2 linked regions of the Macaca fascicularis genome follow. The protein of the gene in region 1 binds, or shares a complex with, the protein of each later gene. Links are inferred from orthologs where the notes say so. Each region holds a gene or a part of one and is shown on either strand. Other genes may lie near its edges.

The links.
Region 2: OSGEP (region 1) and GON7 share a complex: the UniProt entries of both Homo sapiens proteins name them as parts of the EKC/KEOPS complex. The link is inferred for Macaca fascicularis from reciprocal best matches to the Homo sapiens genes OSGEP and GON7.

The regions. Positions count from the first base shown.
Region 1 is NC_088381.1:88,035,978-88,050,372, forward strand, and holds OSGEP (tRNA N6-adenosine threonylcarbamoyltransferase), read right to left. Parts: upstream 10,230-14,395; 5' UTR 10,078-10,229; coding exon 9,963-10,077; intron 7,593-9,962; coding exon 7,473-7,592; exon of another isoform or gene 7,420-7,472; intron 7,295-7,419; coding exon 7,119-7,294; intron 4,492-7,118; coding exon of another isoform or gene 4,437-4,491; coding exon 4,341-4,436; intron 4,184-4,340; coding exon 4,134-4,183; exon of another isoform or gene 4,072-4,133; intron 3,982-4,071; coding exon 3,903-3,981; intron 3,334-3,902; coding exon 3,268-3,333; intron 3,154-3,267; coding exon 3,063-3,153; intron 2,850-3,062; coding exon 2,774-2,849; intron 2,679-2,773; coding exon 2,580-2,678; intron 2,437-2,579; coding exon 2,397-2,436; 3' UTR 2,214-2,396; downstream 1-2,213. Other genes in the region: DNA repair nuclease/redox regulator APEX1, read left to right, coding at 11,039-11,096, 11,302-11,489, 11,989-12,181, 12,312-12,829; PIP4P1 (type 1 phosphatidylinositol 4,5-bisphosphate 4-phosphatase), read right to left, coding at 13,893-14,036. UniProt on the Homo sapiens protein: Component of the EKC/KEOPS complex that is required for the formation of a threonylcarbamoyl group on adenosine at position 37 (t(6)A37) in tRNAs that read codons beginning with adenine.
Region 2 is NC_088381.1:161,199,067-161,214,808, forward strand, and holds GON7 (EKC/KEOPS complex subunit GON7), read right to left. Parts: upstream 10,125-15,742; 5' UTR 10,067-10,124; coding exon 9,859-10,066; intron 6,820-9,858; coding exon 6,725-6,819; 3' UTR 5,935-6,724; downstream 1-5,934. Other genes in the region: putative E3 ubiquitin-protein ligase UBR7, read left to right, coding at 10,321-10,470, 12,840-12,973, 13,337-13,397, 14,736-14,831. UniProt on the Homo sapiens protein: Component of the EKC/KEOPS complex that is required for the formation of a threonylcarbamoyl group on adenosine at position 37 (t(6)A37) in tRNAs that read codons beginning with adenine.

The sequences.
Region 1 (14,395 bases):
TATTTGTGTGCTAATGGCAAGATTCAGGAGAGAAGAAAATACTGACTCTCCGGGAAAAGAGGGAGAATTATCCCTGTTTTTGAGAGTCTCGCTCTGTTACCCAGGCTGGCATGCAGTGGCACAATCTTGGCTCACTGCAACCTCCGCCTACTGGGTTCAAGTGATCCTCGTACCCGAGTAGTTGGGATCACAGGCATGCGACACCATGCCAGCTGATTTTTTGTATTTTTAGTAGAGGGATTTCACCATGCTGGTCAGGCTGGTCTTGAACTCCTGGCCTCAAGTAATCCACCTGCCTTGGCCTCCCAGTGCTGGGATTACAGGCGTGAGCCACTGCACCCAGCCCTGACTTTTAATCAGCAAAATACCCTCCTATCCACAGTGACAATCCAGTGTCCTCTGAGAAGCAAAATCAGCTCTGGTTGAGAACCACTGGTTTATGGTAACAGGAAGGCAGAGTACATGGGTACAGATGCTAGAAGGTGGTTAGTTTCAGGGGCAGAAGCCTGTAAATGTATACCGATTGCTTCTATTTTCTTACTGAAATACGAACTAAGGTAAGAGTCAGAACAGGAGGAGATGTTAAGAGATTTGAGGGGTCAGAAGGTATGAAACAGTCACCAGAGAAGAGGGCAAGTGAAAAGACTAGAGAGATGGAATATTTCTGGGTGGCATAAAGGACCCCCATTTTAGTGTCTTGGTCATAAGTTTAAAGTAAGATCAGTCAGCATGGCTATTTTTTACTAGCCCTTTCAGCTGCATGGGTCTAAAGTAGGCAATGAGTTGAATATGACAAAAGCAAAAAAAAGGAAGGGAAATGAGGCGGATTCTGTTGGATTTATCATATTAAAGAAAATGAACTGGAAAGACAGGAGGTGGTGGTAGTAGAGAGTGGGATGTCTGAAACTGAGATGTGGAGGATCTGCAGCTCTAGAACATGACCAAGGAAATAAGTGGCTATTAGTATGATCTACCTGAATATTGAAATCATCAAGATTTATGACAAGAGTGGTGTTCATGTGGTAGTTTGTTTCAAAGCAGAAGGGTACTAGGGATGAGGGACAATGGTCTGGAAACAGTATGAGGAAAAATGAGGACACGTGCACCACCCCCAGGCCCAGTGTACAATGGGTGTGGAAGGGAAAACACCACCTTAGGAGAAGCAGAGTCCTCATAAGAAACCAAGTCTGGAGAGCATAAATGTGAAGGAACATTCAGAGAAGAGGTTGAGGATACAGAGAATTTGACAAATGACTGGCCATCATTTCCAGAGGGTACAGTAGAAGAGCTTCTGGAGTTGGAAAAGTTAGGTAGATGGAGACAAAACAGAGTGGAGATACGTGGTTATTAAGTGTAAAATATGAGATGACTCAGTAGTTTAGGACTAATTGTGATGACTGATACCAACGTCAATAAGATAAAGGGTATGAGATTCGTTCTGTTGTTTGTGGTAGGGAGGGATGTGCATCTACGGGCATTCCTCAAGCCTGCCAATGGATATGCATGTAGGAGAAAGTATATGCAGTAGATGCAGTTTTACTCTAGAGTTACAAATTAGACCAATCTCCAGGCTGTTGATTTGTTTGTTTTTAAGAGACAAGGTTTTGTTCTGTCACCCAGGCTGGAGAGAAGTGACTCAATCATAGCTCACTGCGACCTCAAACTCCTGGGCTCAAGCTATCTTCCCACCTCAGCCTCCCTCGGAGCTGGGACTACAGATGTGCACCACCATGCCCAGATAATTTTTAAAAGTTTCAAATAGGTGGTGTCTTGCTATGTTGCCCAGGCTGGGCTCAAACTCCTGGACTCAAGGGATCCTCCTGACTTGGCCTCCCAAAGCACTGGGATAATAGGTGTGAGCCACTGCACCTAGCCTCCAGGCTATTTTGAGAGAAGTCTTGAGTACCTACTTCAAAGAATTTAAATGAGAGGATGAAAATAAAGCAGTTAGCACAGGATCTGATACTAAACTAATAGTTACGATAATACTATTGTTGCCAGGCACAGTGGCATGCTTACTCGGGAGGCTGAGGTGGTAAGACAGCTTGAGCCCAGTTTGAGACCAGCCTGGGCAACACAGCAAGACTCCGTTTCTTAAAAAAAAAAAAAAAAAAAAAAACCTCAGTCTTCGTTCCACAGCAGCAGCCTCCAACAAGAATTTATCCAGCACCAAATCTATATTGGTCCTGAACAACACAATCCAATCACCAACATACAAAACCAAAAAACCAAAAATATTTTATTGCTGAGTCATCTTGGGGTTCCATAAAGGACCCCAAGCCTTGCTTGGAGTCTACAGCTTTGCTAGGACTCCCGTGACATCAGGATAGAGATTGAGGCACAGGGTCCTTTGGGTTCCAATTAAGGAACTGTCTACTGTGATTCTGTTAATCTTATTAGTCCCTCCAGGTCACTTCTACTTCATCTGTCCGATACCTGTGGAAAAACAGAAGAAACATGGTGGAGAGCTAGCCCTTAACATCTTCCATTCTTCTCTGCCCTCATGTTCCTGGACTCTCTTCCCTGCTGTTTTGTCTACATCCCAAAAATCTACCCTCACCAAGAGCTGAATCACTCACCTCTGTGTAACCCCAGAATCACTGAGTGGGGTCCTGTGTCCAGCCTGAAACATCTCCCAGCCAGCCTGGGCTATCATGGCTCCGTTGTCAATACAGAATCTGGGATGCAAGAGATATGAAAATTGGGATCTAAGGGTGGAAAATCCCTATAACAGGGAGCAGTAAAAAAGAAACCAAAGGGAAAGTGTGTTTACCTCTCATCTGTAGCAAAAAGCCGGGCTCCACGTTCCTGGCACATTGTCGCCATCATCTCCTGTAGCCTCACATTACCTACAAAGAGGTAGGGAACAGGATTAGCTTAGTTTTAGCTATCTCCTCATGGTCCAGCAGAACACGTCATGTGCACTTACTTAGAACAATGACGTAGGGGACCGGGGCAAGGATTGGGAAGCTTACTCCAAACCCTTAATGATTTAAGAGTATCAGAAGGAAGACGCACAGTGCTAAGAACAGGAAAGAGGAACACTGTTCAGTAATACATACACCCCACTCCTCCCACAATGAGGGCCTCCTGGGAGCCACAATGTGCCATGGCTCGCTCTGTGATCTCTACCAGCATTGCAAACACAGTTTCCTGTCGGGGACACATAAGGAGAAAATATTAGAGGGGCGCCCCAGATTAGTTCTGCTCTACAATATAAAACCTCCTCCAGTCCCAACTTTCTGTCCCAGCTTTTTACTGCATTACCTGCAGGGAGAAACACAGATCCTCAGGAGTACACTCGCCTGTGGCCAGCATCCGATGGGCTACATCCTACAATTAAAGGGAAAAACAAATGAATCAGCAAATCATGGTTTTGGGATTACATAAGAACAAAAGTTAATGCATTCGGAGAGTGACCATGTTTCACCACAATTCAAGTTACCAGCACATCCTGTACCACATTCCCTTCACTGGCATCATGGTATAGAATGAACAGCATTCATTTAAGATGCAATAATTAACTTTTTGAATGCTTGTCCTAACATGTCTCACCCCTTACTTATCCTGCTTAATTTTTCACCTGTACTCATCATCATCTGACACTTCATTTATTTTCCTCTTTCTTTTATCTCCCCCACCCCCCCATTTAGAATCTAAGCTCCATGTAGGCAAGGATTTTTGTTTTGCTCCATGTTGCATCTCTACTACCTAGAACAGTACCTGGCACACAGAGATATTCAATGAATACCTTATAAATGAATTTACTCAGCACATGATATGGACCAGGAATGTGCTATATGAACATACTGAGCTATGTGAAATACAACAGTAAGTAAAACAGATATGCCTCATTTAAAAAGCATGAAGGTGCCCCGTCTCATCACCTCTCTCACACTCACCTCAATGAAAGACAGGATCCCTGAGAATGAGACGTCCATCCCCTTTACGGTGTACGGCAGCTCAACTAGCTTCTTGCCTCTGTGTGGGAATGAGTACACAAGGCACTAAGCCTACAGTCAACCGGCTTCTGACCCTCCAAAGCCCCTCCTAAGTTCTGTTCATATATACCGTATATGGGGAAATCCCTGAAGCCCCAGCAGCCAGCCTGCTTCCACCTTATGTCCCCTTACCGCTTTGCCATCTGTTCAATGTTGTATCCTGGACTTGGGTCGTTAGAAATCTAACAGAAGAAAAAAATAAGGAAAGAGGGAATGGAATAGGATGAAATCAGATATGCAAGAAGCATAAGAAGATTATTTACTATTTCCTCCCTCCACCTCCATGGCTTCCCAAAAGTTCACCCGCATTTTATGTTCTCTGCAGCCCCACTGGCTTACCTTCAGCACTCGAGCAAAACGATCCAGACAATTACCCACTGCAATATCGATGGTTTCCCCAAAGATACGGTAACGATGTTCCGAGTATGCAATCACCTAAGGGTGATGAGGATGTCCATGAAACCCCAAGTCTGTAAACAGGATTATTTGGCTTTGGGAGAAAAACATAGCAGAGGATCAACATGACCACCAGAGCTTCCAATAAGAAGTGGAAGAAAGGTGTTTCCCAAATGGTGAATGGGTAATGTTTTTACAGCTCTGATTTGAAAAGACATCTGCATACCCTGAGGATTCCAGGAATAGAGTCCTAATCTACAAGACAGTCTAGGTCCAAGCAGAAATAAATTATCATTTCAAATACATTTGTTTTCCAGCTTAGAAGTTCCTAATATATTCCTTAAATGCAGTCTTGACAGTAGGGAACAGGCTTTTCTGCTGGGAGGCAGAGAACATGAATCCTTCTAAATTATGACATAGTGACAGTGGTATTTGTTGTTTTGAGACAGGATCTCACTCTGTCTCCCAGGCTGGAGTGGAGTGGTGTGATCATAGCTCACTGTAGACTCGACCTCCTAGGCTCAAAGGATCCTCCCACCTCAGCTTCCTGAGTAGCTGGCCTACCATGTGTGGCTAATTTTTATATTTTTGTAGAGATCGGGTCTCACTATATTGCCCAGCCTGGTCTCAAACCCCTGGTCTCAAGCAATCTACCTGCCTCGGCCTCTCAAAGTGCTGGGATTATAGGTGTGAATCATTGTATCCAGCTGGGCACTGGTATTTAGAACCAAGAAGCAGAGTTGAAGAACTCAAAAATCTCATATGGAGGCAGATTAATGGCCCAGCCAAGTCAGCAATAGCAGTCCACTTAAGACCATTTTTCTTTTTTTTGAGACGGAGTCTCGCTCTGTTGCCCAGGCTGGAGTGCAATGGCGTGATCTCAGCTCACTGCAACCTCTGCCTCCCGGGTTCGTGCCATTCTCCTGCCTCAGCCTCCCGAGTAGCTGGGACTACAGGCGCCCACTACCACGCCCAACTATTTTACATATTAAGGCCATTCTTCATATGTGACCAACTTTTAGCACAGAGATTATCTGTCACCTACTGACACATATGCTGCAGACTTAGAACACCAAGGGTTTCCTAGGAACCTTAAGAAGTCCCTTTCCCTTCCCAGTGCTGTCAGGGATTTCTTCCCTTTCTGATACACATCTTAATCTGCTGTCAAAAAGATAGTAACAAAGGAGAAGGAAAAACCCTGCCTTTCTGCTCCTGCTATCCACTCCTCTCCACCTAATTACCCTCCCTGTTTCTTACACCTAAGCAAACATTAAAAGAGGAAGACAAAGCCGCCATTGCTCCTTTTTATCACCTCTTGTAGTCTCCATTATACTTTCCACAACCCAAGTCTCTAACCTTGTATGTCATCCTTCAGGCCTCAACCAACTACTTGCCCTCTACCTGCTGAAGTTTCCGCATCGTTTTCATGGGAAACACGTGCCTCATCTTCTAGACACAACCCTTTCATGGGCTGGGGACAATGCTGAACCATTTCTAATGATAATTAAGTGTTCTGTTGGAAAGGAATCCAATCCCAACCTTCAAAAGGTCATATAAGGTATCCCAAACAACTTTAGCTTCACTTATAAATTTAAAATATCTTCTGGCTGGGCACAGTGGCCCACGCCTGTAATCCCAGCATTTAGGGAGGCCGAGGCAGGTGGATTACCTGAGGTCAGGAGTTCAAAACCAGCCTGACCAACAGGGTGAAACCCCGTTTCTACTAAAACCACAAAAAATCAGTCATGTGTGGTGGCAGGTGCCTGTAATCCCAGCTACTCAGGAGGCTGAGGCAGAATAGTTTGAACCTGTGAGGCAGAGGTTGCGGTGAGCCAAAGTCGCACCATTGCACTCCAACCTGTACAATAAGAGCAAAACTCCGTTGCAAATAAATAAATAAGATAAAATAAAATACCTTCTATAATTTATAAAGTATTTTTATAGTTATTTATATTTCTGAACTTTTAGAACAACAAAGTCTATATAATCATCCCCAGTAATACAAAAACAAAACATGTAGTTGCCCTAAAATAATAAATCAGGTAGCGTCCCTTAGTTCCTTATTTTTTTTTTTTTTTGAGACAGAGTTTTGCTCTCATTGCCCAGGCTGGAGTGCAATGGTGTGATCTCGGCTCACTGCAACCTCCACTTCCTGGTTCAAGCAATTCTCCTGCCCAGCCTCCCAACTTGCTGGGATTACAGGCACCTGCTACCACGCCAAATTAATTTTTGTTATTTCTAGTAGAAATGGGGTTTTGCCATGTTGGCCAGGCTGGTCTCAAACTCCTGACCTCAGATGATCCACCCACCTTGACCTCCCAAAGTGCTGGAATTACAGGTGTGAGTTGCCATGCCCAGTAACCGTTAGTTTCAGTTGCTAAGATTTACAGAAAAAATAAGCTTCAAAATAATGCAAGATCTTTCAGATATTCATTATTTTGAAGGCTTCAATCCTTACCATTCATTCCTTTCCTGAAGTAGAAATTCCTAATCTTTATGATCAGATATAAAGTCTGATAATGATAAGTCATCTAATGTTCTGAACATGCTGCCAAAATTTGCAATGTTACAAACTCGGTTGGGAGTTTTCTGGTCTACAGTATTTTAGGTTCAGATGAGTTCAGCTTTGTTCCTGACATTCCCATGACTCAGATAGAACGAAGAAGATATTGGTTCAGTGCCTCGGAAATTGAGATGGAATGGGTAGAGCACTCTAAATACCTGTGTATTTCCTCCACTGACATACAACACGGTTGGGCTGGTGGCTCCAGTGATGAGGCGGCCCATCTCGATGTGGCCTATACAGTGGTTCACACCCACCAATGGCTTATTCCACAGTTGGGCCACAGTACGGGCCACAACAGCCACAGAAACCAGTGGGGCACCCATGCCAGGGCCTAGGGAGATAGAAATGGAAGTTACAATGCTAGAGATTGGAAAAAAAATAGGTGGGGGAAGTAAGGGATGTGAGGTGGGGTAGGGGTAGTGGTGGTGGCAGAGGTAAGGTGTTGGCTATTTTGACCTAGCCAGGTTGCAGGTATATTCCTCCATCGTTGACCACTCTCCCAGCCATACCCTTGGTGTATGCAATGCAATCGATATCCTGGGAGGTTAATCCAGACTCTGTTAGTGCCTCCTGCAGCAGGTCTAGGATAACAGCTCGGTGATGCCTGGCTGTATCACCTGGAAGGAATCCTAGAAAATGAACACAGGTCAGAGATCACAGGGATTTTTGGTAGCAAAGGTAGGTAGGAAGTTAAAGAAAGCAACAGGAGGTTTAGTGATGTAGTAAGAGTCCTTTCACTTTCCCCAAGCATCCTATCTTCCACATTTTCGGATACACTCTTTCCAGCTTCTATATAGGCTGTTCAACTTTCAGAAATTCTCTTCCTCTTACCCTACTCAGCCTTCATGTCTCAATGCAAGTGGTATCTACCCATACCCTTTGGTGATCTTTTTTTTTTTTTTTTTTTTTTTGAGACGGAGTCTAGCTCTGTCACCCAGGCTAGAGTGGCCTGGTGCGATCTCGGCTCACTGCAAGCTCCACCTCCTGGGTTCATGCCATTCTCCTGCCTCAGCCTCCCAAGTAGCTGGGACTACAGGTGCCCACCACTGCACCCGGCTAATTTTTTGTACTTTCAGAAGAGACGGGGTTTCATTGTGGTCTCGATCTCCTGACCTCATGATCCACCCGCCTCGGCCTCCCAAAGTGCTGGGATTACAGGTGTGAGCCACCGCGCCCCGCCTTTTTTTCTTTCTTTTGAGACGGAGTCTTGTTCTGATGCCCAGGCTGGACTGCAGTGGCACGATCTCGGCTCACTGCAACCTCCGCCTCCTGAGTTCAAGCAATTCTTCTGCCTTAGCCTCCCAAACAGCTGGGACTACAGGCGACGCCACCACACCCAGCTAATTTTTGTATTTTTAGTAGAGACGGGGTTTCACCATATTGGCCAGGCTGGTCTCAAACTCCTGACCTCGTGATCCGTCTGCCCTGGCCTTCCAAAGTGCTGGGATTACAGGCCTGAGCCATCGCGCCCAGCCTGGTGACCTTCTTTCTCTGTGACCCTACAGAACTCTGTGCATGATGATGTCATTTATTTAACAATTACAACATAATAATTTTCTGTGGTTTGCTCAGCTTAATCATGAGTATCTCAAAGCAGTAAGTATTTTGTTTATCTTTGTATTCCCAGTGCCCAAGTGCCTAGAGGAGTGAATGCTAAACATACATACCTATTTCTAATGAGTAATCTGTCACATCACCTGTTCAGGGAGGCTTTTCAGATACATGCAAATCAGTCGCCCCTCTCCTATGTATGCAAGTGTTTGAGGGGAGAGTAGGCAAGACACAATGGCTTATTAAAAGTGGTAACGTGTTTTGTACTTTCTTTTTTCTTTTTTTTTTTTTGAGACGGAGTTTCACTCTTGTTGCCCAGGCTGGAGTGCAATGGCATGATCTCGGCTCACCACAACCTCAGCCTCCCGAGTAGCTGGGTTAACAGGCATGTGCCACCACGCCCGGTTAATTTTTTGTATTTTTTAGTGGAGACAGGGTTTCTCCATATTGGTCAGGCAGTTCTTGAACTCCGACCTCAGGTGATCCACCCCGCCTGGGCCTCCCAAAGTGCTGGGATTACAGGCGTGAGCCACCACACCCAGACGTATTTGGTACTTTCATCTAATCTTCAAGACCTAATGATACAGGTATTATTCCCATTTTAAAAACAAAGACTAGGCCCGGGCGGTGGCTCATGCCTGTAATTTTCACACTTTGGGAGGCTGGGGTGGGCGGATCATCTGAGGTCAGGAGTTCGAGACCAGCTTGGCCAACATGGTGAAGCCCCGCCTCTACTAAAAATACAAAAATTAGCTGGGTGTGGTAGCACACACCTGTCTGTAGTCCTAGCTACTCGGGAGGCTGGGGTAGAAGAATCTCTTGAATCTGGGAGGCAGAGCTTGCAGTAAGCCGAAATCGTGCCATTGCATTCCAGCCTGGGCAACAGAGCAAGACTGTCTCAAAAACAAATTAAAATAAAAAATAAAGACCAAATGTCCAAAACATAAATATTTAATGTGAATACAGCACAGCCAGCCAGTTCTCTGACATGTAAGCTGGGAGTCTTTCCACTCTCATCTCTCTACTCATCCTAGAATATTTCAAAAAATAAATTTTTTTTAAAAAGGAGTGTATATTCAGGGCAACTGGAATATATACTCCTGCTAAGCGTTTTTTAAACAGAATATTTCGAGTCCATCTCTATTACACTGTTTATCATGCTGTAGTATAAACATCTATTTATATGTCTGACTCCACAGCAGTATCATAACATCTATTTCTGAATGCTTAGCACATAAAATGAGCTCAATAAACGGTAAACGAACTCATCAGATCCACGTCCAAGTGCTTGTAACTCTTCTAGTCATCAGCCTTGTGACGTTAATAATATCACATAATTTCAATAAGACTCAGATCAAAAGCTGCACCTCACTAGTATTTAGGAAGATGGAAGGCTGATTTTCTGCGGGGAAGTGCGCCGAAAACTCTTAACTCCCCTACTCACCCACCTGTGCCCGGAGGCGTGACATAAGTCCGCCGCGGGTTCGCCAGCACCTTGCCATCCCGCACCACACCCACGCCAATCTTATTGGCGCTGCCTTCAAAACCCAGCACCGCCGGCATGGCGGAGCCTGGGAGAAAACGCCGACAGGACTCCTAGCAACGTCAGGAGCTGTGGAAGTCCTCACTAGTCTGCGCTGGGCCGCAGCTTTCCGGAGCGCAGAGGAAGCGGGCTAGCCTGCAGATAACAGTGGGAAAGACAGCGCAGAACTCCCGCGAGCGGAGACCCGCCAAGGCCCCTCCAAGGACCTGTCTTCCTAACTGCCAGGGACGCCGAGCCGACTCTGTGCTTTACAATCCTGTCCGTTTTCCTATATCTTTCCCGTGGTCCAGCCCAACCTTCTCCACTTTTTTTTCCCTTTGCACAGCGTTAGACTCTTAAGTCAGAGTCAAACAATGTGCCGTGCGTCGGGCACAACGATAAACAGCCCGAACGAGGGTTGGGGCCCTAGGTCTCCTAGAGAATTAGTTGAGAGAGGCAAGGCCAAGCGACTTCGTCACGTGGTGTCAGACAGACCAATCACGCGCATTCTTCGGCCATGTGACGCGTGCCTCTGATCACGTGACCAGGTCCGCTACCCACGTGGGGGGCTCAGCGTGCATCCTTCTTTGTGCTCGGGTTAGGAGGAGCTAGGCTGCCATCGGACCGGTGCAGATACGGGGTTGCTCTTTTGCTCATAAGAGGGGCTTCGCTGGCAGTCTGAAGGGCAAGCTTGAGTCAGGACCCTTAATTAAGATCCTCAATTGGCTGGAGGGCAGATCTCGCGAGTAGGGTACAAGGCACTATGAAATGATCTAGTTACGTGGGTGAGGGGCTGAAGGGCCTATGATGCACGGAGGCGGGGAAAGGATTTAGAGATAACATGGTTTGAAAGGCGGGACCTGGTGCGGGGACGCTCTTGAGAGGAGTCTTCTCCCCAGGCTTAGCTGGTTTCATGATTTCTTTGCGTCTGTAGGCAACGCGGTAAAAATACTGCTTTGGTGGGCGACGCGGTACAGGTGCCGAAGAGCGTTCGTTACGGGAATGCCGAAGCGTGGGAAAAAGGGAGCGGTGGCAGAAGACGGGGATGAGCTCAAGACAGGTAAGAATGAAATGAGCCCCTCTTCCTAGAAGCTACGGCGGGGTTGTTTGTAATTCCCTTGATGAACGGTAAGTACCGGCCAACTCATTTTTGCAGGGGTTTGTGAAGACGCAGTAACCGCAGGCTTTCGTTGGGTCCATAGCTAACGCCGGATCGCGGTTGGAAACCACCCACTTTTTGTCAATATATATTACTCATTTTATAGAGCCAGAGCCCAAGAAGAGTAAGACGCCCGCAAAGAAAAATGACAAGGAGGCAGCAGGAGAGGGCCCAGCCCTGTATGAGGACCCCCCCGATCAGAAAACCTCACCCAGTGGCAAACCTGCCACACTCAAGATCTGCTCTTGGAACGTGGATGGGCTTCGAGCCTGGATTAAGAAGAAAGGATTAGATGTGAGTGGTGTTTGAGGGGAAGACACATTCTTTAGTATTGAATGATCTTAGGGTTTAGTCATCCCTTTTCTCCGTATAGCCTTCAGGCTGTTTTTTCTCCTGCCTGCAGTTTTCGGTGGGGCTTCCCCAGTCTTGCCAGTTGTATTTCCTAAATGTCTGCTCCTTCACTTCCATTGCCATTTTCTTTTTTAATGTTCTCTCCTCTTCCCAGAATGTTGCAAAAACCTTTTACTATACTTCCTCCATTTTATCTTCAGCATGTCCTCCATTTCATTAATTATAGCTTAAAAATCTTAGCTTGCCTATAGAAAAAACACATTCATAGTATAGCACGTAAGACTTTACCTCTGTTTTCATTTATCTAGCTTCGAATTGTTTAAATATTATTTAACCTCGAACTGCTTGACTGTTTAACCTGTGCATATTTATGACTTAGCATATATTCAATAAATGTTCTGCTGAATTGATAATACATTTTCCACCTTTCTTTTACTTATAGTGGGTAAAGGAAGAAGCCCCAGATATACTGTGCCTTCAAGAGACCAAATGTTCAGAGAACAAACTACCAGCTGAACTTCAAGAGCTGCCTGGACTCTCTCATCAATACTGGTCCGCTCCTTCGGACAAGGAAGGATACAGTGGCGTGGGCCTACTTTCCCGCCATTGCCCACTCAAAGTTTCTTATGGCATAGGTGAGACCCTATTGATGCCTAATGCCTGAACTCTTCAAGACCAATTGCTAATTCTCCATCTCTCCCCCACCTCTTGATTGCTTTTCCTTTTCTTACAGTTTTTTATGCTAATTCTGTTTCGTTTCTGTAGGCGAGGAGGAGCATGATCAGGAAGGCCGGGTGATTGTGGCTGAATTTGACTCGTTTGTGCTGGTAACAACGTATGTACCTAATGCAGGCCGGGGTCTGGTACGACTGGAGTACCGGCAGCGCTGGGATGAAGCCTTTCGCAAGTTCCTGAAGGGCTTGGCTTCCCGAAAGCCCCTTGTGCTGTGTGGAGACCTCAATGTGGCACATGAAGAAATTGACCTTCGCAACCCCAAGGGTAACAAAAAGAATGCTGGCTTCACGCCACAAGAGCGCCAAGGCTTTGGGGAATTACTGCAGGCTGTGCCACTGGCTGACAGCTTTAGGCACCTCTACCCCAACACACCCTATGCCTACACCTTTTGGACTTACATGATGAATGCTCGATCCAAGAATGTTGGTTGGCGCCTTGATTACTTTTTGTTGTCCCACTCTCTGTTACCTGCATTGTGTGATAGCAAGATCCGTTCCAAGGCCCTCGGCAGTGATCACTGTCCTATCACCCTATACCTAGCACTGTGACACCACCCCTAAATCACTTTGAGCCTGGGAAATAAGCCCCCTCAACTACCATTCCTTCTTTAAACACTCTTCAGAGAAATCTGCATTGTATTTCTCATCTATAAAAATAAGAATCCTACAACCAGGCTCCTGTGACAGATTTAGAGTTCTTTTAAGCCCAAGAGTTTTTATTTGAGGGTTTTTTCTTTTTTAAGAAAAACTGAACAAAGACTACTAATGACTTTGTTTGAATTATCCACACAAAAATAAAGAGCCATAGTTTCAGCCTTGCTGTCTTTGTGTCTTACCCCTTCGTGGGGCTACACATTCCCTTCCTCGTATTTTCGTGCATACAAGTTAACAACTGAAAAAGGGTAGAGTCATGACCTTATTTATTTACAAGCACAGGATAAGTCCCTAATCTCCCCCAAAGACTGAGCAACTCTACCCAGCCCAGTTAAATACTGCAACTGGGAGGGGGGGGGGGTAAAAAAGGTTGGAAGGAGGAATTAAGGGAAATACAGGAATAGGGGAACATATCCCACATTAAATAGTTATATACACATCAGTTCCTGTGGTTCTGTACAGAGCAGCGGCTGACCCCACCCCCACAGGAAACAATGTGGGGAGAGGAGACTGAGGGTACTGAGGCCAGAGCCAACCTCTGGTGAAGTGCAATAGCAGCAGCAAAGTCCTAATGGTGCACAAGAGGGAGGGGAACCCCCAGGGCTACCCACCCCCACCCTGCCCTGGAATGTGTAAGGGACAGGAATGGCTCTCAGGGAGCACACAGGAAGGACAAGGCTGGAACCGTCTTTAGGACCCAGTTTTAAGGGCAACGTTTTGCCTACTTCACCCTAGACACAGCAACCCTTGGAGGAAAGCAGATGGTCAGCAGTGCTCTTATCTGCCCCTCCAAACCTAAGTGAGGGCCTGGTTCCTTCCTACCTCTCCCCAGGGAAAAGGAAGGCAGCTGCTTGGCTTCCTTATAGAAGCCCCGGGAGCCTTTAACTACCCCAGCTCCCTTCGTAGTGTCACTGTCCCCACCAGGGAGGGGCCAGGCACAGTCTGTGGGTCATCAGGCTCAGGAGAAGTTCTGGACAGGGTGGCTGACCTTCATACAGGCCCAATAAAGGGCCCGGCCCAAACACAGCACAGCCAACAGGATGACAAATGCCCAGGCTGCATAGATGCCTCCATATCGCCGTGCATGCTTCCATGTGCCAAACTGATGAAGGTAAGGAGGGAGAAGAAAAGAAAGATGGGGTTAATGTTGGTCTCCACTACCTCCTATTAGTCCTAAGAACAGTAATAACTCATGCTTCAGTCCTTGTTTCTTATCCACATATAGCCACCCTCAGGGACCTTCTTAAAGGCAGAGCTGTTCAGCTCCCTTCCCTTAGGCAGTAACATACTCATCCCATCCCACACTGTATCTCAGTTTTTCTTCATATCTGACAACTGAGCCAGGTTTGCAAATAGCAACTCTTAAATTAAGCACTTCACTGTCCTATCCTCATCCTACAGACAAAGGATGGCTATTTTGCACTCTTAGTAGTAATAAAGTCTGTTTGATCAGCCACCTTA
Region 2 (15,742 bases), about 73 Mb from region 1:
TGTATTTTTAGTAGAGATGGGGTTTCACCGTGTTAGGCAGGATGGTCTCGATCTCCTGACCTCGTGATCTGCCCGCCTCAGCCTCCCAGAGTGCTGGGATTACAGGTGTGAGCCACCGCACCCAGCCCCCTTGCTAGTTTTTATTGAGCAGATCTCAGAGATTGACCTTTAACAGCATATAGAGCTTTACCTTAGTGTTTTCCATGGCTGCACAATATTGTTGTACTAAGGTTCCTCTATTTTTATCTAATTATGGTCTTCTGATGAACAGTTAGGTTGTCTCCAGCCTTTTGTTACTAATAATGCTGCAACAAATAGTCTTATAAATAGATCTTTGTGCACGTGTTACTCTGTAGGACAAATACCTATAAATGAAATTGCTAAGTCAAAGAGCATGTGATATATATATACATATATATATATGTATTTATTTATTTGTTTGTTTTGTTTTGAGACACAGTCTCACTCTGTTGCCAGGCTGGAGTGCAGTGGCTCAATCTCAGCTCACTGCAACCTCTGCCTCCTGGGTTCAAGCTATTTTCCTGCCTCAGCCTCCCGAGTAGCTGGGACTACAGGCACACCAAAACTTTCAATTTTTACTGTATTTTTAGTAGAGACGGGGTTTCACCATGTTGGCCAGGATGGTCTCGATCTCTTGACCTTGTGATCCACCCACCTTGGCCTCTCAGAGTGCTGGGATTACAGGCGTGAGCCACCGCCCCCGGCCTAATATTTTAACAGAATTGTCAGCTTGACTTTCTAAGAGCTTATAGCAATTTACACTCTCACCATGAATATATTATAGACCCCACATCCTTTCCAGCTCAATACTGCATCAAAACTGTTGATTTTTCAGTCTGAAAAGTAAAAAAATGGTATTGCATTGTGGTTTTAATGTCAATTTATTTGAAGTGCACATTTTTTTTTTCACTGAAAAGCCATGTGTATTTCTTCTGTGATCTTGTGGTTCCTTTCCTTTGCCTATTTTTCTGTTATATTTTCCTGACTAGTATATAAGGGATCTACATAAAAGAATTCGTTCTTAGTCATTTGTGCTGAAAATACTTAATACTTTTTCCATTTTTATTTTGACCGTATTTACAGAATGTTCAGAAATTTCAGTTATTATGAATCACGTTTACTAATATTTTCCACAATGGTTTCTGGATTTTTACATTGTAGTGTTATTAATTTCCCCAAACATGCTTATCTGCACCCATCACCAGTATGGATATAGTGTTGAACTGTGTGGTGCTCAACTACCAATCACAATAGTTCATACAAGGAATTGCTTATAAAGATTTTGTCGGGCTGGGCGCAGTGGCTCACGCCTGTAATCCCAGCACTTTGGGAGGCCGAGGCAGGTGGATCACGAGGTCAGGTGATCGAGACCATCCTGGCTAACATGGTGAAACCCCGTCTCTACTAAAAATACAAAGAAAACAAAATTAGCCAGGCATGGTGGCGGGCACCTGTAGTCCCAGCTACTCGGGAGGCTGAGGAGGGAGAATGGTATGAACCCAGGAGGTGGAGCTTGCAGTGAGCCAAGATGGTGCCACTGCACTCCAGCCTGGGTGACACAGTGAGACTCCGTCTCAAAAAAAAAAAAAAAAAGGTTTTGTCATAACACAGAGGTTGACGACTGAGTTAAAAAGCTTAGATTTTCCGGCTTTTTTTTTCTTTTTTGAGACGAAGTCTTGCTTTGTCACCCAGGCTGGAGTGCGGTGGCACAATCTCAGCTCACTGCAACCCACGTCTCCCAGGTTCAAGAAATTCTACTGCCTGTCTCCCTAGTAGCTGGGATTACAGCTGCACACCACCATGCCTAGCTAATTTTTTGTGTTTTTAGTAGAGACAGGGTTTCACCATGTTGGCCAGGCTGGTCTCGAACTCCTGACCTCAGGTGATCTGCCCGTCTTGGCCTCCTAAAGTGCTGCGATTACAGGTGTGGGCCACCATGCTCAGCCTCAGGTTGTCTTATATGTATGCATCTTATTGCAATATAAGAAATGATAGTCTATACTTACATTGATTGAACAATTTGAGAGATAGTTGCATCTTTAGGTTAAATAGGTTAAATAGAAACTAGATAAACTACATAATAAACTGAGGGCCACAGACATCTCCAACTGATTTTCTCATTTGGAAGAAAACATAAACTTTATTTCCTTTAAAAGTATAGGCTTTTTCAGTTAAAAAATTTAAAAGTTTGCCTGAAGCAAATGTTTAAACTGAAATCTAAAGGATAAGTAGATAGACAAAGGAGGTCATTTGGCCCAGGATTTGAAAGGCAACTAGTGGCAGAAGCATAAATCCTCTTAAGTCTAAGCTGGGCATGGTGGCTCAAGTCTGTAATTCAGCTATTGGGGAGGCTGAGGCTGAAGAGGATCACTTGAGGTCAGGAGTTAGAAAACAGCCTAGGCAATGCAACTGAGACATCCCTTGTCTCTTAAAAAAAAAAAAAAAAAAAAAAAGCCAAGCATGGTTGCATGCACCTGTAGTCCTGGCTACTCTAGAGGCTAAGTGGGAAGATTGTTTGAGTCCTCAAGAATCTTGAGCTACTGAACTCAAGATTGCTTGAGCCCTTACCTTCCAAATGAGTTTGAAGTTGCAGCGAGCTATGATCATGACACTGCACTCCAGCCTGGGTAACAGAGACCATCTCAAAAAAAAAAAAAAAAGAAAGAAAAATTCCTCCGATTCTGAATGCCCATTTCTAAACGGAGAGGCGGGGGGAATTGATTTCCTCACATATTTTTTTTCCTATTTTTCCAAAGTAAGTTTTTCTTCCCAAAAAGGTTTAAATGTCTTAAAATTAATTTTGCACCACCTAATACTATAGCCAAGCAATCACAACCTGTTATAAAAGAGTAAAAGTTCTCGTCCTTGGCCACAGAATTCTATTATTAAAATAAACATTTCTTACTGTGACGCAAAAGGACTTACTTTTAGAAAACACATCTATCTTGCATAAATTCCATATGTTTCACATTTTAAAAGATTTATCTAAGTCTAATGTCAAGCTTATTTTTAGGTAGGATTGTGCAGTTGACTTTCCTGTTCAAAAGTAAAGTTGGAGCTGTTTCAAAGAGTAACTTTATTCTGCTTGCCTGTGGCTGTTTGTACCATAGAAGGCAGATTAGTCAGGTGCGGTGGCTCATGCCTGTAATCCTAGCACTTTGGGAGGCCAACACAGGAGGATCGCTTACAGCCAGGAGTTTCGAGACCACCCGGGGCTACAAAGCAAGGCCCCCATCTCGACAAAAAATTTAAAAATTAGCCTGGTAGCTGGGCACGGTGGCTCACACCTGTAATCCCAGCACTTTGGGAGACCAAGGTGGGTGGATCACCTAAGGTCAGGAGTTCGAGACCAGCCTGGCCAACATGGTGAAACCCTGTCTCTACTAAAAATACAAAAATTAGCCAGGCATGGTGGCAGGCACCTGTAATCTCAGCTACTTGGGAGGCTGAGGCAGCAGAATCACTTGAACCTGGGAGGTGGAGGTTACAGTGAGCCGAGACCGTGCCATTTCACTCCAGCCCGGGCAAAAAGAGTCAAACTCCATCTCAAAAAAAAAAGGCCGGGTGCGGTGTCTGTAATCCCAGCACTTTGGGAGGCCGAGGCGGGTGGATTATCTGAGGTCGGGAGTTTGACATCAGCCTAACCAACATGGAGAAACCCCGTCTCTACTAAAAATACTAAATTAGCCTAACGTGGTGGTGCATGCCGGTAGTCCCAGTTACTCGCGAGGCTGAGGCAGGAGAATCACTTGAACCCGGGAGGTGGAAGTTGTGGTGAGCTGAGATTGCACCATTGCACTCCAGCCTGGGCAACAAGAGCGAAATTCCGTCTCAAAAAAAAAAAAAAAAAGAACTAAAATAAAAAATAAATTAGCCTGGCGTGGTGGCACACACCTAGTGCTTGGCTGCTTGGGAGGCTGTGGTGGGAGGATCACCTGAGCCCAGGAATTCCAGTAAGCTGAGTGTGCCACTGTACTCCAGCCTGAGTGACAGTGACACCCAAGCGCAGCAGCAGATTAGAAAACCTGGCAAAGCATTTCTTCTATACTGGCCCATCTTTGTCAAACATGTGGCTTTCTTACAAAGAAGACAGTATTAGAATTGAAATCAGTATTAAAATTAATTAAAAGACCAATCTTATAAATCAGAATCTAAAAACACTGGGCCACAAACACAAATATTATCTTGAAATTTCTTCTTTATACCCACATTTTCCAAAGGAAACATAAAATGTTCAGAGAAAAGGTTCAGATATCAATTTAACAATGTGATCTATTTTCCGTATATACAGGTAAGTTTTTTTCTTTTTTGAGATGGAGTTTCGTTCTTGTTGCCCAGGCTGGAATGCAATGGCACGATCGGCTCACTGCAACTTCTGCCTCCCAGGTTCAAGCTATTCTCCTGCCTCAGCCTCCCAAGTAGCTGGGATTACAGGCATGCGCCACCACACCAGGCTAGTTTTGTATTTTTAGTAGAGATGGGGTTTCTCCATGTTGGTCAGGCTGGTCTCAAACTCTCGACCTCAGGTGATCCGCCCGCCTTGGCCTCCCAAAGTGCTGGGATTGTAAGTATCAGTCACTGCACCCAACCAGTTTTTTCTTTAATGATTGTATAGAGATAACAGTACTATAATAAATAACAGCTAAATATTAGAAACATCAGCATAAACTAAACAGATAATTTCTGACGATCTATAACTTTTTCTAGTTGGCATTGTTTGATTGCCCAAGAGTACTTAGTGGAAGGCTGCTGTTCCAAAGTAAAACAGTGTTTCAATGATATGAAAAGGTATATAGATTTTCAATGATATGAAAATTAAATTATTTCATAATAAAAGTGATTCATAAAAGTTGATTAGGCCGGGCGCGGTGGCTCAAGCCTGTAATCCCAGCACTTTGGGAGGCCGAGACGGGCGGATCACGAGGTCAGGAGATCGAGACCATCCCGGTTAACCCCGTGAAACCCCGTCTCTACTAAAAAATACAAAAAACTAGCCGGGCGAGGTGGCGGGCGCCTGTAGTCCCAGCTACTCGGGAGGCTGAGGCAGGAGAATGGCGTAAACCTGGGAGGCGGAGCTTGCAGTGAGCTGAGATCCGGCCACTGCACTCCAGCCTGGGCGACAGAGCCAGACTTAGTCTTTAAAAAAAAAAAAAAAAAAAAAAAGTTGATTAGGCCAGGCATGGTGGGCTCTTGCCTGTAATCCCAGCACTTTGGGAAGCTGAGGTGGGCAGATCCCTTGAGTCCAGGAGCTCTAGACCAGCCTGGGCAATGTGGTGAAACCATCTCTACAAAGAATACAAAAAAATTAGCTGGATGTGCTGGTGCATGCCTGTGGTCCCAGCTATTTGAGAGGTTGAGGTGGGAGGATCACCTGAGCCTGGGATGCGGAGGTTGCAGTGACAGTGAGCCAAGATCGTGCCACTGCACTGCAGCCTTAGTGACAGAGTGAAACCCTGTCTAAAATGCACATGCCTGTAATTTCAGCTACTTGGGAGGCTGAGGCAGAAGAATTGCTTGAACCCGGGAGGCAGAGGTTGCAGTGAGCAAGATCGCACCAATACACTCCAGCCTGGGCAACAAGAGTGAAACTCTGTCTCAAAAAAAAAAAAAGAAAAAAAAAGTTGATTAATGATTTCTCTCACCTTTTATCAGCTTAAAAAAAACCTAAAGGCTATTTATGTAACCCAGTACTCTGTAATCTGAGGGCAAATACTTATCCTGAGATTTATCTGTGAAATAAATCACATAGTTTGTAAAGTTACTTTCAACTCTAAAATCCCATGACTATTTGTATTTTACTAGGTACATGCTACTTGATTTCTTTGCATTGAAGCTATCTACATCAGGAAGGATGCATAGTGAATAAACATGCCTTAGTCCCACTGACAAGCAGAAAAGAAACACACACATACATACTTTAGGAATATATATTTTTAAAGGATTCAATAATCTTTTTAAAGCTAAATCAAAGCATGGCTACAGGAGGAGAGGAAATATCCAAATTGTAATCAACGCAGATTATTTACTTAAGGCCTTCCATTTGTACCTGTATACATACTATATCACAGCACAAAAGCATACCCTACCCCATCTGGCTCTCTTAAGGTACATGATAAATCAGATTAATGCACATTCATCAAGCGGCATCATCTCAGGATATCTGTATCTTTGACATGGGTATGAATTCAGGGTTTCCTTGGGTCTCTTTCAAGGACTCTCTCTTCAGTATTTCTATTTCCTCATTTTCCTTCTATTTATGAAGAACTGTTATTTTTACATTTAATGCCCACTTTTCACCACTTGTTCATGTCAGTTCTCTGAAATGTTACTGCCTATGAACCATGACGTACTGTTTATAACAGAAGCAGAAGTTAAAAGATGTAGACATCACACAAACCAATGGTTATTTTAAAAATAGAAAACAATGATAAAAATTCAGTTGCCAACTTAAGAGGATTTTATATATTATGAAGTGTTCTATTTTCCTCCCACGGTCTGAAATTTATTTCTCAAGAAAACAGATTTTATTTCTAAGCCTTTACTGTCTTTGCTAGAAACAGAAAAACCAGTTTTCTCTTTGGCAAAATTGTCCCAGGAAAACAACACAAATGCTTTTCCAAATTAGAGCATAAGTCTTCCTTAAATGTCCTAGTGTGACAATTGGGATACAACAGCCATCTTTTAAATGTCATAAAGGCTATTGTTAAGATGGTGGTTTTGGCCGTTTTGCAGATGGTCCATCGAAGTTAGTTCTGTTATCAATGTTATTTTCATCTTCGGCATCATCTTCATCATCACCTTTTAAAATAAATATTTGTTGTATGACAATACGTTCTATGGTTGAAAGAAATATATATAGCTAAAGTGGTTGATAACGAGACCATTTCACTTTAGAGATTAATAAAACCATGCACATTTTAGATTAAAATGATTTTGAGAATTTCAGTGTTTAAAATCTTTATTTTCTATCACTTTCCTCTTTGGAAATATTAACTCATTCATCATAAAATCCAGTCTCTTTTTTTTTTTGAGATGGAGTCTTTCTCTGTTACCAGGCTGGAGTGTAGTGGCGCGATCTCAGCTTACTGCAACCTCTGCCTCCAGGGTTCAAGTGATTCCCGTCTCAGCCTCCCAAGTAGCTGGGATTACAGGCACGCGCTACCATGCCCGGCTAATTTTTTGTATTTTAGTAGAGACAGCGTTTCACCATGTTGGCCAAGATGGTCTCGATCTCCCGACCTCGTGATCTGCATGCCTTGGCCTCCCAAACTGCTGGGATTACAGGCATGAACCACTGTAGCCGGCCAAAATCCACTTTTAAAAGTGTACCGCTTAGTGGTTTTTAGTATATTCACTAGATTGTGCAACCATCACCACTCTCTAATCCTAGAACACTTTCATCACTCCAAAGAGAAATGAATTATGCCCATTAGCAGTCACTTTCCCTCAGCCTTCGGCAACCACTAATCTACTTTTGTTCCCCCTTAATTTTTATTAGTGAGAGGGTCTTGCTATGTTGCCCAGGCTAGACTCAAACTCCCAGGTTCAAGTGATCCTCCTGTGTCAGCCTCTAGAGTAGCTGGGACTACAGGTGCCCACCACTGCACCCAGCTCACTAATCTCTCTCTATGGATTTGCCTATTCTGTACATTCATATAAACAAAATCATATAACATGTACCCTTCTGTGTCTGGCTCTCACTGTAGCATAATGTTTTCAAGGTTCATTCATGTTGTAGCACGTATTAATACTTCATTACCTTTTATTGCTAATAATATTCCATTGTATGGATACACCACATTTTGTTAATGCACTCATCAGTTGATGGATATTTGCATTATTTCTATTTTTTAAAATTATCATTATTTTTAGAGATGAAGCGATGGGGCCTCACTCTGTCCTCCAGGCTGGAGTGCAGTGGAACAATCAGCCCACTGCAGCTTCAAACTCTTGGGTTCACGTGATCCTCCCACCTCCTAAAGGTGCAACACCAAGCCCGGTCAATTGTTGTTTCCACATTTTAGTCACTATAAATGCTGCTGCTATGAACATTCATGTGTAAGTTTTTGTGTGAACATACTTTCCAGTTCTCTTGCGAGGACTACCAGTGGAACTGCTGGGTCATGTGGTAACTTCATATCAACTTTTTGAGGAGCTACCAAACTCTTTTTCCCAGTGGTTACACTGTTTTACATTTCCACCAACAATGTACAAGATCTCCAATTTCTCCACATTCCAGCCAACACTTGTTATTGTTCTTTTTGATCATAGCCAACATCCATATTATCAAGATGTAATTCCCAAGATGGAAGGAAAGTACAGTTTAAGCTCTTCTTAGAGAATTGTAAATCCTAACTCTAATATCTATTCTTGGATTTTTCAGCTCAGGACAGTTAAAATGTACCTGCCTGGCCAGGTGCAGCAGCTCAGGCTTGTAATTCCAGCACTTTGGGAGGCCAAGGCAGGTGGATCACGAGGTTAGGAGTTCGAGACCAGCCCGGCCAACACAGTGAAACCCTGTCTCTACTGAAAATACAAAAACTAGCTGGGAGTGGTGGCGGGCGCCTGTAATCTCAGCTACTTGGGAGGCTGAGACAGGAGAATCACTTGAACCCGGGAAGCAGAGGTTGCAGTGAGCCGAGATTGTGCCACTGCACTCCAGCCTGGGCAACAGAGCTAGACTCCATTTCAAAAAAAAAAAAAGTACCTGCCTATTTCTGCATTCGAGGCAATTTTTAAAAAATAATGCAGTTAAACTTCACGTTTCTACTTTCAAACTGCACCTACAAAACTGGAAAGGCAAGGGAGTCTCTAGGAGTTAATACATGTTAAAATTAAGTCTGTCCCACTCCTTGGAACCTGTTCCTACTCTGCGATAGATTGTACTCTTCCAAATATGTCTGTAGTTTCACACCTGATAAAACTCCTTTTTATTCAATACTCCAGCTCAAAAGTCTTATCCTCTTTGAAGCCTTCCGAGGGTCTCTGGGTTTGCAACACTTACAGAGGGCCATAGAACCACGTTCTTTTTTTTTTTTTTTTGAGACGGAGTCTCGCTCTGTAGTCCAGGCTGGAGTGCAGTGGCACGATCTCGGCTCACTGCAACTTCCGCCTCCCGGGGTCAAGCGATTCTTCTGCCTCAGCCTCCCCAGTAGCTGGGATTACAGGTGCCCGCCACCACTCCCAGCTAATTTTTGTATTTTTAGTAGAGACAGGGTTTCACCATATTGGCCAGGCTGGTCTCGAACTCCTGACCTCGTGATCCGCTCGCCTCAGCCTCCCAAAGTGCTGGGATTACAGGCGTGAGCTACCAGCCTGGCCACTTTCACTTTTAATAAGAGTGTCTGCCTGTATAATCCCCTTGTGTTTCACAAGGGCAGGAACTGAGTCGCATTGACCTCATTCTTCCTCCAGGGCTCAGCTCAGGGTTTGGCAAATAGTAGTAGGCATTCGGCAAGTTTTTTAGTGAAATAAATGAAATAGCGATGAGTCGTGGAAATGTTTGAGTAGAAGCAGCCCAAATATAGTGATAAATGCCAACAATTTTTATTTTTTAAATTATCTTTGAAATAACAATGGAAACGGGGTCTCGATATGTTGCCCTGGCTGTTCTGGAACTCCTGACCTCAAGTGATCCTCCTGCCTCGCCCTCCCAAAGTGTTGGGATTACAGGAGTGAGCCCCACTTCGCCTGGCCCGCCAAAAATTTTTAGATGCAATTCTTCTTTCCTCGAGGCTCACTTTGTCCAAGTCTGCCACTCTACACGGGCTCCCCAAGCCAATTTCCCCTGGCTCCCGCCCCGTCCTCCTGTCGCTGCAGCACCGTCTCAGAGCTCACCGTCCAGGGCCTCGTCTGGAGCCGCCGCCACCCGGTGCTGCACTTCCGCCTGTACCAGGGGGCCGAATAATTCCGTTACCAGCTCCTTCATCTGGGCCACGCCAGACAATAGGCCCTGGAAAGGGTCGCCGTCACCCGGCGCCTCACAGGACACCCGCAGCTTCTGCGGCTTCCCTTCCTGCCCGACATACTCTCCCAGCAGCTCCATGGTGACCACTAAGCTTCCAGAACACGACACCGGGAAGCGCCACCCGGAGGCGGAAATCAGCCCGTGGCCTGCGCAGGCGGCAGAAGGGAGAGGAGTGACATCCGTTTGTCGGAAGTCGCTCCTCCCCCTTCCTTCGCCTTTTTTCCTTGTCATTGGTTCCTGGCACTCGGGCCCCGCCTCCTCCGGCTACGCCCCTCGTGGCCGCTTTTCCCGCCTCCGCCGGGGCCGAGCCGCGGTTCGGGTGACAGTTGAGGATGGCCGGAGCCGAGGGCTCCGCTGGGCGGCAGTCGGAGCTGGAGCCCGTGGTATCGTTGGTCGACGTCCTCGAGGAGGACGAGGAGCTGGAGAATGAGGCGTGTGCTGTCCTGGGCGGCAGCGACTCCGAGAAGTGCTCCTACTCGCAGGTGGGCACGCGGCCCGGGCCTTGTCTCCCGCGGCTCCCGCCGAACCTCCCCTTCCCGGCCCGGCTGTCCCTATTCCCGCCTGCCGCAGTCGTCTCCCCAGTGGTGGTCCGGGGCCGCCGTTAGTCTGCCGCTTCCTTACCCCAAGCCCACCCTTCCCTTTTATCCCCAACCTCCTGGGCCCCCTTCAGCCTGTGTCCAGCAGGGGCCCCCATCTCCCCTCTCTCTAACTCTGTCCGGCCAGCCAGGAAGGACCCTGGAGCAGCTGCTCTGTCCGTCCTCTCCAGCCTCGTCCTGGTGCACCACTGCTTTTCACGAAACCAGCCCGCGACCTCTCAGATCCAGACATCTTTGTCCCTGCTTTTCCCATCCTAAGATTATTTATTTATTTATTAGGGACCAAATGGGAGACGTCAGGTTAAAGAGATTTTCAAATCCATAGGGATTTGCGGTGAGCTCCTTGACAGCTAGTTCCTCTGCAATTTAGTTTGACAAGTGCTAGCTAGTACTTTTTCTTTCTTTTTTTGGCAAAATGGAGCAAGTACCCATGTCTGTCTGCAGTCTGCCCTCCTCCCCTGGAAATAGACCGGAAACAGAACAGCAAGTGGCTCTGGCAGGGGAGGGGAGAGAGGAGAAAAGGATCTATTTGGCATTTGGAAGACGTTGTGAGTGAGCAAGTGTTTGAGGGGGTGTGATGTGTTTAGTGACTCACCCTATACTTCGAGGCACAAAAATGGAAAAGGATGGGTAGGAAGAAGACTGACAAAGGATAAGAACTGGCAGGAAGAAGGGTTACCGAGGCAGAGGGGTGGATTGGAACACTGGGGAGATGAGAGGAGAGACTTGCATTCATTATGTGGTATGAACTGAGGTCATAATACCAGTTCTCGTTGTTGACCAAGTTTAGTTTACACTGCAAAGTGCTAGATTGTTGAATAAACCTGGTATCCAGACATAGCCCCAGGTACTTTAAAACCTTTGGTCACCACTAAAACAATTTTTCGCCTGCTTTCCTTAAAAAAAAAAAAAAAAGTTCTAAGTCTGTATGTAAACTATTTTTGAAGTGTAGTTACCTTTATAAAATGGATTCCCTTAATGTTTTCTTTTTATTGTGGTAAAAAAAAAATATGGAAATTTGCACAAATCATGTACACAGCTTGAAAGGAAAGTGTGCATGTTCCCACCACCCAGATCAACAAATAGAACATTAGGAGTGCAAAAGGCTTATTGGAAAAGAACTTAAAAAAAAAGAGAAAAGAAAGAAATAGAATTTTACTGGCATCCCGGAAGCCTCCTTGTCTATTCTTCCTCCTTCCTAGAGGAAGGTAACTATACCTATTATACATATTCACTTTTTTTTTTTTTTTTTGAGATGGAATTTCACTCTTGCCACCCAGGCTGGAGTGCAATGTCATGATCTTGGCTCACCGCAACCTCCACCTCCCGGGTTCAAGCGATTCTCCTGTCTCAGCCTCCCGAGTAGCTGGGATTACAGATGCCCGCCACCACGGCCAGCTAATTTTTATATTTTTAGTAGATGGGGTTTTTTAGAGATGGGGTTTCACCACGCTGACCAGGCTGGTCTTGAACTCGTGACCTGAGGTGATCTGCCCACCTTGGCCTCCCAAAGGGCTGGGATTACAGGCGTGAGCACTGCACCCAGCCTACATATTCACTTTTTAACATTTTGTCACATTTATCTCCTTTTCTACTTAAAATTTGTTGTTTTAAAATTTTGAACTATTTAAAAATAAGTTGCAGACATGATGACACTATACCTCTAAATACTTCAGCATGCATCTCCTAAAAATCAAAGAGATTCTTTGCATGTGTTGATTCTCTCTTTGGTGGATTTACAAACATTTTCCAGGATGAAAGTGTGATATTACTTACATAAACCTATACATATGCTCCTGTGTTTTCACCTGTTAAAATGATTAAACAGATTCATTTATTCACAGCCGACTGACAAATTCAGACATCCTATCACTTTAAGAAAGGAGTGCTGACTTGTGTCATGGCTAATGCTTGTAATCCCAGAACTTTGGAAGGCCAAGGCAGAGAACTGCTTGAGCCCAGGAGTTTGAGACAAGCCTGGGCAACATAGCAAGACCTCGTCTCTGCAAAAAATAAATAAATTAGGAAGAAAGAAAAAAGTGCTTGCATGAAAAGCACTAGTATAAAAATGAAACATGCAACACAACTGTGTTTTGGTTGATGCTCTGCTGTGTAAACTTTTTAGTCTTAATGGTTTTTACAGAAAGATCTTGACCACAGATAATCTGATTTTAATTATTTTTCAGTTCCTAGTGTGGGTATTAGGTAAGCCATGCTATTACATTAATTCTCTTTTCCATTTTGGGGGCTTTTAGGGCTCAGTAAAGAGGCAAGCACTATATGCCTGTAGTACCTGCACCCCAGAGGGAGAAGAACCAGCAGGAATTTGTTTAGCTTGCAGTTATGAATGTCATGGAAGTCACAAACTATTTGAGCTATACACAAAAAGGTAAACATAGTCAGAGATTGTTACTAAATGCTTTTGAAGTGTAGATTCTGTCCCATCTACACTTTTTCCTTATCATGTTTTTTCATGCAAAGCTGTTGTACAGTAGTGAAATTTCATGTAATTATTTTATATAATTGGAGTTTCCAGAGCCTTTAAAAACATAATATGGTACAAACTCAAACTACTCATCTTTCTCTACCATCATTTTACTTGTGTGTGTTTGTGTGTATGTGATATAAATATTTGCTTCTGTACATATTAATTTCCAGAATTGTGAAGTCTTATGTGCTTGAATGCTTGAAGAAATTTTAAATTGGATTTTGTAAAAAGAAAAATAAAATTGTTATTTCCTCCTTTTTTCAGAAATTTTCGTTGTGATTGTGGAAACAGCAAGTTTAAAACTTTGGAATGCAAATTACTTCCTGTAAGTAAACACTGTAACTATAAATGCAGTTAGAGCAGCTGGGGTTAATATTTGCCAGAGGGGGTAAAAAACAAATACCTATATTTTCCAAAAAAGAAGTTCTTATGCTTATTCTTTGCAGATGGCCATTTAATTTTTTACTTTGTTGGAAAAACTATATAAACTGTTGAGAGCCTACAAGATAGATGGTAATTAATATGAAAGGTTTGGGGAAGAGATGTACTTGAAAGTAATTCAGGTTTAATTATATTGGTTGTACTTATTCTCTGAGGCTTTTAAAGCAAAGGATATGACTTAAAAACAATAAACAGGGTCAGGAGATCGAGACCATCCTGGCCAACACGGTGAAACCCTGTCTCTACTAAAAATACAAAAATTAGCTGGGCATGGTGGCACCCAGTTACCTACTCGGTCAGCTACTTGGGAGGCTGAGGCAGGAGAATTGCTTGAACCCAGGAGGTAGAGGTTGCAGTGAGCTGAGATTGCACCACTGCACTCCAGCCTGGCAACAGAGCAAGACTCCATCTCAAAACGAAAACAATAAATAGACTGGCACAGTGGCTCACACCTGTAATCCTAGCATTTTGGGAGGCCGAGGGGGGCAGATCACTTGAGGTTAGGAGTTCGAAACCAGCTTGACCATCATGGTGAAATGCTCCCACCACTAAAAATACAAAAAATTATCTGGGCATGGTGGTGTGTGCCTGTAATCCTAGCTACTCGGGAGGCTGAAGCATGAGAATCGCTTGAACCCAGGAGGCGGAGGTTTCTGTTACCCAAGATTGTGCCACCGCACTCCAGCCTGGGAGACAGAGCGAGACTCCATCTCAAAAAAAAAAAAAAAAAAAAGAAAAGAAAAAGAAAAACCAATAAATAAGGCCGGGCGTGGTGACTCACACGTGTAATCCCAACACTTTGGGAGGCCTACGTGGGAGAATGGCTTGAACCCAGACCAGCCTGGGCATCGTAGTGAGACCCCATCTCTATCAAAAAGGAAAAAGAAGTACCTTGAAATTCCAGGCCAATGTCAGTTCACATAGATTGATAATTAATATTTATGATTAACTTTTATCTCCACTTTACTGAATAGGTGTATTTAATTTCTCCTAATTACCACCAAAAAAAACAAAAACAAACACAAAATTTTATTTTTTCCCTGTATCCTGAAAAAAGTATCCCTTTAGTAGTAGTGAGGTTTTTTTTTCCTACTTTGAAAGTTAAAGATCAGCCTCTTGGGGGAAATAATGTGGAAATGTATTGAATGTATTAATTTTATAATGTGTGAAATTATAGTTAAAATTAGACCATATTATTATTGAAATCAATATTATATTTCAGGACAAAGCAAAGGTAAATTCTGGCAATAAGTACAATGACAACTTTTTTGGATTGTACTGCATTTGCAAGAGACCTTATCCTGATCCTGAAGACGAGGTAAGAGAATTGGAAGTTAAACCTGGGAGTGTGTCCCCTCTAGCCTTGATTCCTCAACTGCTTGTCATATCTGAGCCTCTGGCTCTTCGGGAGGCAGTGCGGGATGGTGAAAGGGTTCTAGATTTATCTTTTCTTATGAATCTGGGTCGGATCTATAATTGGTACACATCTCAACCGTTCTTTCCATTTTTACATCATAAGAATGAAATATTGCACTTTGGGAGGCTGAGACGGGCGGATCACGAGGTCAAGAGATCGAGACCATCCTGGCTAACACAGTGAAACCCCGTCTCTACTAAAAAAATACAAAAACTAGCCGGGCAAGGTGGCGGGCGCCTGTAGTCCCAGCTACTCGGGAGGCTGAGGCAGGAGAATGGTGTAAACCCGGGAGTCGGAGCTTGCAGTGAGCTGAGATCCGGCCACTGCACTCCAGCCTGGGCTACAGAGCGAGACTCCGTCTCAAAAAAAAGAAAAAAAAAAAAAAAAAAAGAATGAAATATTGGAGAGGACTTTCCCAAAGCCAGAGCTTCTTCCCTTCCTCTCCTTCCCTGACTGCCTCCCCCTGCCCCCTAACACTTTCTAAGAAATGACCTTCAATTTCTTCTGTCTCTCTACGGAAAGAAATGGGGTATACAAACAGCATCCTCTTAAAAATGTCGGCCGGGCGCCGTGGCTCAAGCCTGTAATCCCAGCACTTTGGGAGGCCGAGGCGGGCGGATCACAAGGTCAGGGGATCGAGACCACAGTGAAACCCCGTCTCTACTAAAAATACAAAAAATTAGCCGGGTGCGGTGGCGGGCGCCTGTAGTCCCAGCTACTCGGGAGGCTGAGGCAGGAGAATGGCGGGAACCCGGGAGGCGGAGCTTGCAGTGAGCCGAGATCGCGCCACTGCACTCCAGCCTGGGCAACAG